Linked DNA regions of Schizosaccharomyces pombe. The protein of the gene in region 1 interacts with the protein of each later gene in a biochemical or structural test. Each region holds a gene or a part of one and is shown on either strand. Other genes may lie near its edges.

Region 1 (4,467 bases):
TCTTGCCTATTTGTACATTCCTTTGTTTACTTTGGCTCCATTCTTGTATTAGAGTTGAAATTACACTTTCTTCTATCTATGAGTGGGATCGAATTTAGGATATTATCCTATCACATTAATTTTTTTATGTCAAAGAAGTGAGCCTCATCATACTCATGTTTGCTCCTACTGATTCATGATTAGATGATTCTATTTACGTTTACAAAACCAAAAAGATGGGTAATCGTCGCGTATGGTCCGTATTTTCTGGAACAATTTTTTAATAGTATTGCTCTTTTCTAAAATAAATACTCGTTTTTTGCTCGTTTTCCTTACGCATGAACATTTAGTAGTTCTTGGCGTTTACATTCCTCTGTTTTTATTTTATCGCTTGGTCTCAGTTATTATCAAAAATGGGTTCTGGTATTTTGAACGGCCATTAACTTTACAATTGTAAAGGGTTGGTGTTTGATTTTGTTTGATCGTCCTATATTACATTTGACAAATAATTCAGCTATTTGTACACTTTAATAGGCACATTTATAAGCGTATCAAATTGTTGTTACAAAATGTGTTTTTGAAATTGTTTATGAACACATGATATTTGTAAAGTAAAGTGTATTTGACATTAGCCATGTAAAATTGTAATCCTTTATAAACATACTATATATTAACTTTAATGCAGTGTGTCTTTTGTTAATTACTAGTAAAAATCATCATATCTATCATTAATTTATGTTGTACATTATGTGTTCAAGTTTATTTGTAAACGATCGGACACTGTTCGAAGGAGTTTTAAATATAAACTTGGAATCTACATGTCCTAAAAGATGATCGTAAATGACCTGAGAAGGTTTATACGGGTTGTCACAAACAGCAAAATACAAACAATTTTGTACTGGACATGACCAAATACCAGTCTGTAAATCCGGACTAACTTTTAAAGCCTCAACTTTCTCCAAGTTATATGAATATAATCCAGTGTCTTGTTTAAAATCTGTTTCCTTTTTGGATAAGCAGGAAGATGCGGAAGCTAAATCGAGCAGTTTTGTAGGTCTATACGGTAAAGTCGACCTCGTTGACCTATTACAAGGGAATAAATTTGTTCGATCCAGCCATACCTGATCGCATAAATTTGGAGTTGATGAATATACTTTGGGATATTTGTTGCGAAGTAATTTCAATAATTCATCATAGAAGCTGAATGCAGGCCAATAACCAAAAGAAATAGAAAAAAGTTTAACAAAGTCAGGAAGAACTGTAACAAAATTTTTTTCAAAAATTTCCTCCGTAAAACTGAAAGCGACAGCTGAGTGATTAATGTATTGTTCATATGTATAATCTGAGCCAGAAAGGCCTGATCCAATATCAAATAACAAGAAATGAAATAATATCTTGGCCGCCAATTGAGCATTTGAGAAATCTAGTTTCATGCATATTAGAGTCCTCAAGAGATGTAGACTTGTTTTTTCTCCATTGTTACAATGCATGAATAAATAATCATAACAATATCCACGGAATTGAGATCGTGCTTGTTGAACAGAAGATCTAAAACCAATTGCGTGCTTAATATCATTAAAAAGCTTAGTACCTCTCCACGTGAAAGCAGTATGCATAATTTGCAAAAGGGTTTCGCCGTGGGAAGAAAGTTTATTCAAAGCTTCCAAATTTGTTATTTGTAGCTGTTGAGCAATAACGCTGCAAACTTCTTGAAGGCTAATATAACGTTGATGCTTCGGAGAGGTTGAAACTTGTATTCTTTTCCATAATGATATCGATTCAATATTTGGATCAACAATCCTTAAACCGGAAAGCCAAATATCATTCAAAGGAAACCGTAATGGAGAAGTTCTTTTTACAACTCCTAGTTGTGGTGTTGCTGTGGGAGAGGAAATGCTAAACGGTTGCTCGGGTAAATTAATTAAAGTAAGAGCTTGGTTTAAAGAGCTTTTCATAGTAGTATTATTGTCCGATGGATTGTTTGACGATAACTTTGATTTCTTTCGCTCTTGACGAGCATTGTAAATGTTTTTATTAATTTGTAAAATCAGATGTTCGTATGAAGATCGAATTCTTATAAAAAAAGGTGATTCAGACCATACATGTAATGAAGAAGTCGCAACCATTTGGGTTAACAGAAAGCGAATATGTTTTTGCACTAAGAGAATTGCTTGAAAACAAGAAGGAAGCTCTAGCTTTTCCTTTAAAACTTCGATATAATTATCGTAATCTTCTAACGTACCAGATATCATATCATCTTTGAATTTTGTCTTAATAAGGTAAAACAATCGATTCTTCTCGCTGATCTGTTCGTAAATGGCTTTATACTCAGAAGAAGGAGACAAAATTCCGTATCTTCTTTGAGGTGTAACGATCCATATGCTCATAGTTTCTTTCTCAGGAACGTCTTTTAGATTGTATGTCCAAACAGGCGATATTTTTATCGAGTATCCCAGAACAATGCTCTCATCAAACAATGGTTCTTGCTCATCCTTTTCAGAAGATAAAATTCCTGTTAATGAATAAGGGCCATATTCTAGAACGTCCTCTAAATCTACTAATTCCCCTGCTTTATTTGTAACGCAAACTTGTTCAATCAAATCAGTTTTCCGCTTTTTTTCAGCACGTACGGGCGGCATCGCTAGCTTTTTCCTTTTCCCCAAAAACAATACTCTTCGAAGTAATATTGCCTATTACTATAGACGGCATATTTTTGAGGTAAACATTGGTGTTAAATTTCTGATCTCTGCTTCTGAAATTTAAGAGAAGGGTATCCATTGTACTGCACAAATATATAATTAACGTCTAGTGCGTTATACTTACGATACGTTAACAATCACTATACCTATAATTGTGTTTTACCAACATTTCTTTCGGCCGTGAACATACGTTGCTTCTAAAGTACTTATTCTTTAATTAGAAAAATATTGATGAAGTTTGATTTGTACTCCTCAGCTGATTGTAAACTATTTTAGTGCACATATAATACTATACGATATCTCTTAATATTTTGATATATTTATTATTGTATAGAAAACAGAATTTTATTTAACATTATTTTTTATATTAGGAAAACCCACCGCAGTTCTAAAGTATCATTAAGTGTTTTAATGATTGCATAGCTGACACAATGCGTAATTTAATGACAGATACGGTGTATTATTATGTGGATCTTTAGAGTAGAATAATTGTAAGCTACGCAGTTTGGTATCTGATTTAAGGATACGTAGAACTGCGGTGAGTTTTCCTTGTGATCTATTATATTACAATACGCAGGTTGTATAAGTAGCAACTGAGTATAGGTATTGTATTAACTGGGTTATAATGTTACCTATCACTAATATAGCTCATAACTGAACCTCGTTCCTCAGTTCAGTTGTAACGCTATTTATAATATTTCTAAATAGTTGTTATCAACGGGTATCTACGTATATAGACGGATAGTTACCCGTGATTATCAATAAACGGATCTTAGCTAGTATTCCAACATATGACATATAGTGATACGCAACGTAGTGTATCATAGCGTAGTGTAGTATTGCTGACAATAATGAATTTAAGTAGTTTCACTATACGCCTCATTATACTGTAAGCTAGAGCAAAGTAAGAAACTTGCCAAGAACCAAAGCGGGTCTCTGCGAAAGGTAAACTAATAAAAATCGGACAAATTGGAGGAATTGAAGGGGAATTAAGGAAAAATATTAATTTAATAGAGATAAACTTATGAATTTATGCAGAACGCACCAAAGTGTTACCTGCCGAATTCACGTAAAGGCAGAGACGTGAATTTTCATGATCGAGGTCCTGAAACGTTAAAATGCTTGTACGATGAATCAGAAGATAACAATAATTTTACTATGCATTCTGAATCCATAGGTCCTAAGTCATTAGACAGTTTATCGCCTAGAAGGCTAAGTAACTATTCATCTGCTGTAGACCCTCGAACTACGAGCTTGGAAGATGTCCCTCGCTTAATTTTAACAAGAAGTAATTCACAAGAACAAACCCCTTTGAGAACACACACCCCTGTTGAATATATGAGTGATTCAATTCACAAGAGTCTAGCTGACTTGCAATTAGGTGGTTCCTCTTATTCAGTTGCTGAATCACCAGTACCGGTGCTGCAGTCTTCAGCCGTTTCTGAAGCTGATGATATGGCAAGTGCTCATTCTGCTCATCCGTCTCGAAAGGCAAGCAGGTCATTACGTCTCTTTGAGTCTTCTACCTCCAATAACTTAGAAACCGGTAACAGTACTAATACTGCTTTGCACAACGTGTCGAGTCCTCTTGAATCTGTTTCTGAAAGGCTCTCCAAATCTGGATCACCAAGTGTTGGTGCTCAGCATGATTTAGATGAAGTTATTTCCGAAAAAGATACATCACTAAGTCGAAGATCATCTCGTGGTCGGAGCTCAGCTCCTAAACGAAGAAAAGATAGTGGTAGTTCTAAAACCACAGCCACCTACATACCACATAATCCTTCTAAAA
Region 2 (3,432 bases), on another chromosome or scaffold:
CAGGCCAAAATTTTGCTTCCCATCGAAACTATGTAAGCAAGATAGGTTATCCAGCTTTGTGTTACAAGTGGAAGCTAACAATTCGCCCCACCACTCAGAACAAGTCTCATTTAAAGGAGTAAGAGTCTGAACGAATAATTTTTTAATCTCCAAGTCGAACACAAAGGATCGATCAACAAAAGCAAGTTCGGCATCAACTGTGGTTTGTTGGAAGTCCAAAGGAAAAGAGGCATTTGAAACAGACTTTGTAGATAAATCACTACATTCGTAACCAATGATACCCATAATTCCGCCGTAAAATGGCAAATTGGTATCTGGCTTAATTGCTTTATGTTGATTCATGAAATCAGCCACTGTGGACCACAAATCGTTGTTTATACGGACAAAGCTATTATCCTTGCAAATTCTAATCTCAGTAGTATTCGTTGCTTTCTCGTAATGTATAATTCGTGCCAAAGGACCTGTTAAAATTCCAAGTATAGAATATCTCCCAGGTTTTTTCGCTGAATCTAAAAAGCAAATTGGATTCCCGCTTTTTTGAATACAATCAGCTAACGCTAGTGGTTCAACCCAAGGGATTTCAACACTGTGAATTTGAAGAGAGGGAGAACCACTTTTAAGAATGAATGCAGCCGGAGAAATATCATACCGATTAAGATTATGCGAGAAACCATTTGCTGATTTTGAAAAGGAATTGACACATTGTATATTAGGAGTATCTGCTAGAGAAAGGAAATTTTTGAAAATTTTCAAAGATTTTGATGACCCAACGCTTTCAGGATGATAAAGTATTCCAAAATGTGGAAACTTTGTAGCCTTAATAGACATAACTATGTTATCTTCATCCGATTGAGCTAATATTTGTAAAGAATCGATGGGAATTTTGTTCGCGTACAAACTGTGGTAACGCATTCCTTTAACCGCTGAAATTCCATCAAAAATGAAAGTTTTTGAAGTAGTTACAGATGACACACGGCCATGCCAAGGAAGATTAGGCATTCTTTCTATAGTGGCACCGTGGTATAAAGCTAATGACTGAAACCCCAAACAAATGCCCATTACTGGGATATTTAATTGCCAAATACGATTCAAAATAGAAGAATATTCGGCAGGATGTCCAGGGCCCGGTCCTACGACAATGGCATCAAATTGAAGTATGTCTTCCCATAAATCAGGACTCATTTTATCCCAATGAACAACAATAACACAGGCATTTTCACTTGCTTTGTAAAGTAAGTCATAAAGGTTAAAAGTGTATGAGTCATAGCAATCAATTAATAAAATTTGTAAACGGTTTGAAATTTCACTCATGATAGATACTAATCAGCTAAAACGACCTTAGATTTACTCAAGAAACATTAATTTTTTAACGATATGATTGAAAAGAGAACTCTGGTATTAAGAGGTTTTAACTTTTACAAAGTAGCAGGAGTAGGAAGTGCGCAAATTAAATTCCAGTTTCCAATTTGTTTAGAAGCTTCTGACATTCTTCGGGATTTTACAAATCATACAATTCCATTTAAGGTAGGAAAAGTGTAGGCTATCTAAAGTTTTATTATTCCGTTTATTTTCAAAGAATAATTCGCAATCAAAAACTTGAAGGCGAGAATAATAGAATGGGAAGCAGTATTTATTTTGAAAACAACCCTTTGAATATGTGCAATTTTCATTGTCAATAGAACATGAAGCAATCAACAAATATATGTATTCTTTTTTGCTTTAATATCATTGATTCACCTATTAATCGAACCGAACGGTAGTAAATTTTATATTAATGCATTTACAGCCTGATCAGCGTAAAGATCTCAATGACAATTGATAGGACGGCTTGTATTACTGTTTTTTTTTTCTAAATCCTGATTAAGCCTGTATGTTTCTTCTATTTGGTTGTCAAGGCTATCACATTTTGTTCATTAAAGGTATTGTCTACTTAATGCTTCTAACGTCAGCAGCTAATTAAAATTATTTCAGTACATATATTCATTTATAAGAGTATTGTTACCATATTAATAATAATAAAAAAATATGGATTTTAAGAGTCGAAAATATAAAATTAAAAAGCATCCGAAGGATTGCAAACTACATGCTAAAAAATACCGGGGTACATTGAATTCAAAAGGGAAAAATGATAATGATTGTTTAATTATGTGTATGAGATGCAGAAAGGTTAAAGGGATAGACTCTTACAGCAAAACTCAATGGAGCAAAACGTTTACATTTGTTCGTGGGAGAACGGTTAGCGTTTCAGACCCAAAAGTGATATGTCGTACCTGCCAGCCCAAACAGCATGATTCAATTTGGTGTACCGCTTGTCAACAAACTAAGGGCATTAATGAATTCTCTAAGGCACAAAGACATGTCCTGGATCCACGATGTCAGATATGTGTACATTCACAAAGGAACGACGGTGATGATAATTTGGAATCTGATAAGTTCGTTGATCCTTTCATAGGTGATGATTCTGACTTAGACGATGATATCTACATTCATGATAAACAAACCATAAACTCAGAATACGCTGACGATGTTTCTGATAATACTGACGAAGAGCGAACTGAAAGCAAGGGGCAACAGGAAAGCAATTCAGCTGAAGAATATGATGATGATGACTCTGATGAAGACAGGATGGAAGAGATATTTCAGCAATTCAAAAAAGAAAAACAAATTGTATAGAGACACGTTTTATATTCATCCTTATTTGAATTATGTAAAGATTTGCTTACGATCCCATTTTATATGATAAATTATAAAGGTCCATTAGTGCTAATGTAGACCTTAAAATATGTTGAATTTAATTTAGATCTTAAATAAATAGATATATGTATATAGTAGTAAAAGGTAAGGAATTGCGAACCCTGATGTAAACACTAGCGTATATTGAACCCATTAGTTTCAAGCAACGCCGTGTCTAATTTTTTTTTTAACTTTTCCCTACTGGAGTATTCCCAAATACATAAGTGATTGAAGCAAGTATGAGAGATAGGAAGTTGATCACTGTCAGGTCCGAGAACTGAGATTCTTAATTGAAAATTATGTGCCCCAGTAGCGGGAATGCGATCGCTTCCTGTGACGAAAATGAGAAAAAGTTTTTGCATTTTTAGCGAATAGTGTGATATCAAATCCCAAAACCAAAGTATTATTTTTCTTTTTGATACGAAAGAGTGGCAGAGATATTTAGATGCAGTCATACTTGGTTCACTTTCAGATATAGAATTTGAAATCGCATTTTGGTCATAAAAATCATAAACGCAGACATTTTTGAGTAGCTCCCAGTCAATAACTTCTTCACTTCCTCTGATCAACTTGCTGATTTCATTGTCTTGAAACAACGATATGGCGTTACCTCCACATACTTTCATAAAGCCATCGAAAAAAGCAGAAAATTGTTTTTTTACAGTAGTATTTAAGAGATAATCTACATACCTCAAAACA
Region 3 (3,972 bases), 910 kb from region 1:
ATAATGTTTTAATATTTTTTGATATAATATAAAAATAATAAACTGCAATGGCTATTTATTGACTGATATTAGTATTATAATTTTCATACAACTATAAAAATACATTGGCAAAAAAGAAAAAATATTGAAAAATCCTAAATAGATACGATGAAATCGATTTCTAACAAAAATTAAAATTAAAATAAAAAACTAAGAAAAAAAAAAAAAATCAAACAGTTACATAAGAACCTAGCTATTTTTTTCCAAACTCCTTCCTATTTATTGTATTCTTTTCAAACATATAAAGAGACGTACAGCAATCACTATCCATAAATAACGATAAAAGCAGCATTATGGGTAAATGAATTTGTGAAATTCACCAACTTGCCAAAAATTGCTTACATATTCTCGTTAACTGGCTTTACCGGTTCCGGGTACAATTCATTAACCAATCGGTTGGACGTAATGACTAAATAGCCCATAAGAAATATAGACAGAAAAAAAGGGAAAATAAACGTGAAAATTACCAAATCTAAGCATTCTCAATTTATGAAATGCTTGGTCTTTTAGTTGGAATTGTGCTGTACTGGTGCGACCGAGCTTCGAAATCGGCGAAGGAAAAAACTCAAAAGAAGCAAACGTCTACCGTTTCACGAAAGAAGAGTAAAAAAACTGCATCGAAAAAAAATTCTGGAAATTCAAAAGCATTAATTGTAAAAAAAAATTAAGTACTATTCTTTTGCATGTACTGCTCGATTCAATGTTTAATGACACTCCTTTCATCAATCTGTTCATCTCCACTCTACAATCTATTTATTCATTTGATACATACTCTCATATAGGATTTTGAAAAATATACTCATTACTATACAATATTATAATTAAGGGAGAATAAAAAAGAAATAAAAAAAACCAAAGGAGCCAGTTCAAGTAGGAATTACTTGTGCAAAAGCCCTTCAAGTACTAGTAAAAGTAACTAGTAGAGAATGACTTGGCTGCATCTAAAACATCCTTAAAGTTCAGGCATAACGAAAACAATAACAGCAAAGAAAAAGAAAGACGCAAAAAGTTCAAAAGGAAAAAGAACCAAACATGGTTTAGAAGCGAGAAACAACCAAAAAAAGTATTGCGGGGTTGTAAAAAAAGAAAGGTCCTTTACAACTTTTCAATGTCTTTCCCTTCATCCTCTTTCAAAATGTTTTACTTGACGACTGACTTTACAGCTCCTGACTAGGCTTTCCAGTGCGACCAGAAGTTTTGGGCAAAAGATGGGCGTTGATGTTGGGAACAACACCACCTTGAGCAATGGTAACGTGACCAAGAAGTTTGTTCAACTCTTCATCGTTACGGATGGCGAGTTGAAGATGACGGGGAATGATACGAGTCTTCTTGTTGTCACGAGCAGCGTTTCCAGCCAATTCGAGAATTTCAGCAGCCAAATATTCCAAAACGGCGGCCAAGTAAACGGGAGCACCAGCACCAACACGTTGAGCATAGTTACCCTTACGTAACAAACGATGGACACGACCAACGGGGAAAGCCAAACCGGCCTTGGCAGAACGGGATTGAGCAGATTTGGCAACAGCAGCCTTACCACCAGATTTACCTCCAGACATGACGAAAAATACTGAAACTAAATAAAAAAAATAAAAGTTTGAGTTAAAAAAAAAAGATTTTTCCTTCTTTAATGAAAAAAGATAACAGTCAACGATGAAGCAGCGAATGGATCAAATTTGGTGAAATTAACAGAATTTTCTCGCAATTTCAGCCTTTACGGACAATCAATCTCCTTATCAACTAAGGATCAATTGTTTATATCAATTTCAATACGTGTATGGATCAAAAGGTATCCTAAACAACGAAAAGTCGCGATATAGGGAAAAGGAGACATAGGAGCGCGCACCCTTCATATATATACTAATTCTAATCTTCCGTATAAGCACGTCTAACGCGTTCTTGTAGATGACGTTTCCGCGTCGCATGGCTAAACACCAGGGTTAGGGTTGTGATGCCCAAGTTGTATATAACCATCGCGTCGCCTGCAGGCATGTTAGTTAATACCAACAACTTGATATTGCACGAAAGTTTAGGATTATCAAATTCCTACAATTGCAATTACTTAGTTCAGTCCATCAATTTTGAGATTCTCTCGACAACCAATTTTTAAATCGTAAAAAATGTCTGCTGCTGAAAAGAAACCCGCTTCCAAGGCTCCCGCCGGTAAGGCTCCTAGGGATACCATGAAGTCTGCTGATAAGAAGCGTGGTAAAAACAGAAAGGAAACTTATTCATCCTATATTTACAAGGTGTTGAAGCAAGTTCACCCTGATACTGGTATTTCCAACCAAGCCATGCGTATCTTGAACTCTTTCGTCAACGATATTTTTGAGCGTATTGCCACTGAGGCTTCCAAGCTTGCTGCTTACAACAAGAAGTCCACTATTTCTTCCCGTGAAATCCAGACTGCTGTTCGTTTGATTCTTCCCGGTGAGTTAGCCAAGCACGCCGTTACCGAAGGTACCAAATCCGTCACCAAGTATTCTTCTTCTGCTCAGTAAGCGAATCGCACGATTGTGCAATCGTCTTTTAGTCAGCTGATGAGTTTCCACAGCCTTCCATTTCGACAATGACAACCTCACGAAACAAAAGGGGGTAGGTTATTTGCTCTTTTGGAAATATATATTTTCCTCCTCCCTTTTTTAACGTTTTCGTTCCCTCCTCTTTTCCATTTCCGCCTTTTGTATCGCATTCCTATTTTATTCCCCGTACAATGACGACAACAACAACACAGGTGCAGCACATCACGCGATAGTTTTTTTTACATTACACATGGTTCTTCATTTCTATGACCGGTTCGTGGAGTTGAAAGGTGTTTTGTTTTGCACAAGTCGTACTGGATCAAATTGGGTTTTGTGTTCGATTCGACGGGGACGAGATGCTTTTTCTTCCCTTGGTTAATCTTCTTCCCTTGTGCATTTTATAGCTATCACCACTGGTTGGAGAGTTGAGTTTCTTTTTTTTCGACTGTTTGTTCCTTTCCGCCATGTATGGAAATAATTTGTGTCATTGGCACTCATACAGACACTTCTCACACTCCATTTCCCGTTCCACTCCTGGGCATCTTGGTTTATTAATGGATTTATTATTATTATTATTGTTTATGTTGGTGATTTAGATTGATGGTGAATGGAATATTATTATTCACATTCAAAATATCCCAAAGAATCCAGTGTGCGAAGTTGATGTGGTTTGGTATGTTTGCTATGCAAATGATTTTATATATGTTTGGAAAGATTGTAAAGTAATTCTACTATTAATAATAATATAATATTATGAAAAGATCATTTCAATAAACTGAAACTTGAGTCGTGTTTTCGTAGCTGTTTCCGTAGTCGGACTTATGGAGCTGGCTTCTGCCTTTCTTTGGATTTGTTGTAGCAAGTCGAGTATGGTAGGTGGAAGGCATTTATTTAAGAAATGCGAAATACTAGGAATGTCGTGGAAAAAGGCATATGGTGAGTGTAAAGCAAACTGAGCGAGCATACAAGACGTTGTGGCTATCATCCAATCTGCCGCTTCATTAGGAGGCATGGAGTCTTTTAATTCTAAGTATATGGTTTCTAGAGTGGAAAACAATTGGAAGGTCGGTGGTTGAATGCTCAACTTGGATATGGAAGAGGGTGTGGTATTGGAAAAACTGGTATCCCGTATGGCCAACAATTTATAAAGATCTTGCAAGTTTCGAAGAGATTTTGAAATTCTCGGATCGAGGGAGGGAGAAACCTCGTTAAGAGGAAATGTCTGTAAGAGAAACTTTTGGTAAGGTACCAAACGTGAACGCAAGTTTAACAGTCGAGTTACGAAGTGTAAAACATCAGAGCGGGTAATGGAGGTAGAGAAAACAGGTAGAGAGGTTGTCATTTTAGAAGCAAGCTTTTTCATATCATGCTGGTTACGGTGCTGCACGAAATCAATTAGGGTAGAAGAAGCAAG

The links.
Region 2: the proteins of raf2 (region 1) and stc1 form a complex in vitro, tested with the Schizosaccharomyces pombe proteins (one study listed by BioGRID).
Region 3: of the proteins of raf2 (region 1) and htb1, one has a biochemical effect on the other in vitro, tested with the Schizosaccharomyces pombe proteins (one study listed by BioGRID).

Annotation. Positions count from the first base shown.
Region 1 is NC_003421.2:499,010-503,476, reverse strand, and holds raf2 (CLRC ubiquitin ligase complex subunit Raf2), read right to left. Parts: upstream 2,713-4,467; 5' UTR 2,619-2,712; coding exon 708-2,618; 3' UTR 597-707; downstream 1-596. Other genes in the region: kcs1 (inositol polyphosphate kinase), read left to right, coding at 3,711-4,467. UniProt on the Schizosaccharomyces pombe protein: Component of the Clr4 methyltransferase complex (ClrC) which contributes to the establishment of heterochromatin by specifically methylating histone H3 to form H3K9me.
Region 2 is NC_003423.3:3,690,442-3,693,873, reverse strand, and holds stc1 (CLRC complex-Argonaute linker protein Stc1), read left to right. Parts: upstream 1-1,958; 5' UTR 1,959-2,025; coding exon 2,026-2,673; 3' UTR 2,674-2,866; downstream 2,867-3,432. Other genes in the region: abz1 (para-aminobenzoate synthase), read right to left, coding at 1-1,311; mug30 (ubiquitin-protein ligase E3), read right to left, coding at 2,868-3,432.
Region 3 is NC_003421.2:1,410,328-1,414,299, forward strand, and holds htb1 (histone H2B Htb1), read left to right. Parts: upstream 1-2,031; 5' UTR 2,032-2,156; coding exon 2,157-2,537; 3' UTR 2,538-3,309; downstream 3,310-3,972. Other genes in the region: hta1 (histone H2A alpha), read right to left, coding at 1,197-1,595; exocyst complex subunit Sec5, read right to left, coding at 3,310-3,972. UniProt on the Schizosaccharomyces pombe protein: Core component of nucleosome. Nucleosomes wrap and compact DNA into chromatin, limiting DNA accessibility to the cellular machineries which require DNA as a template.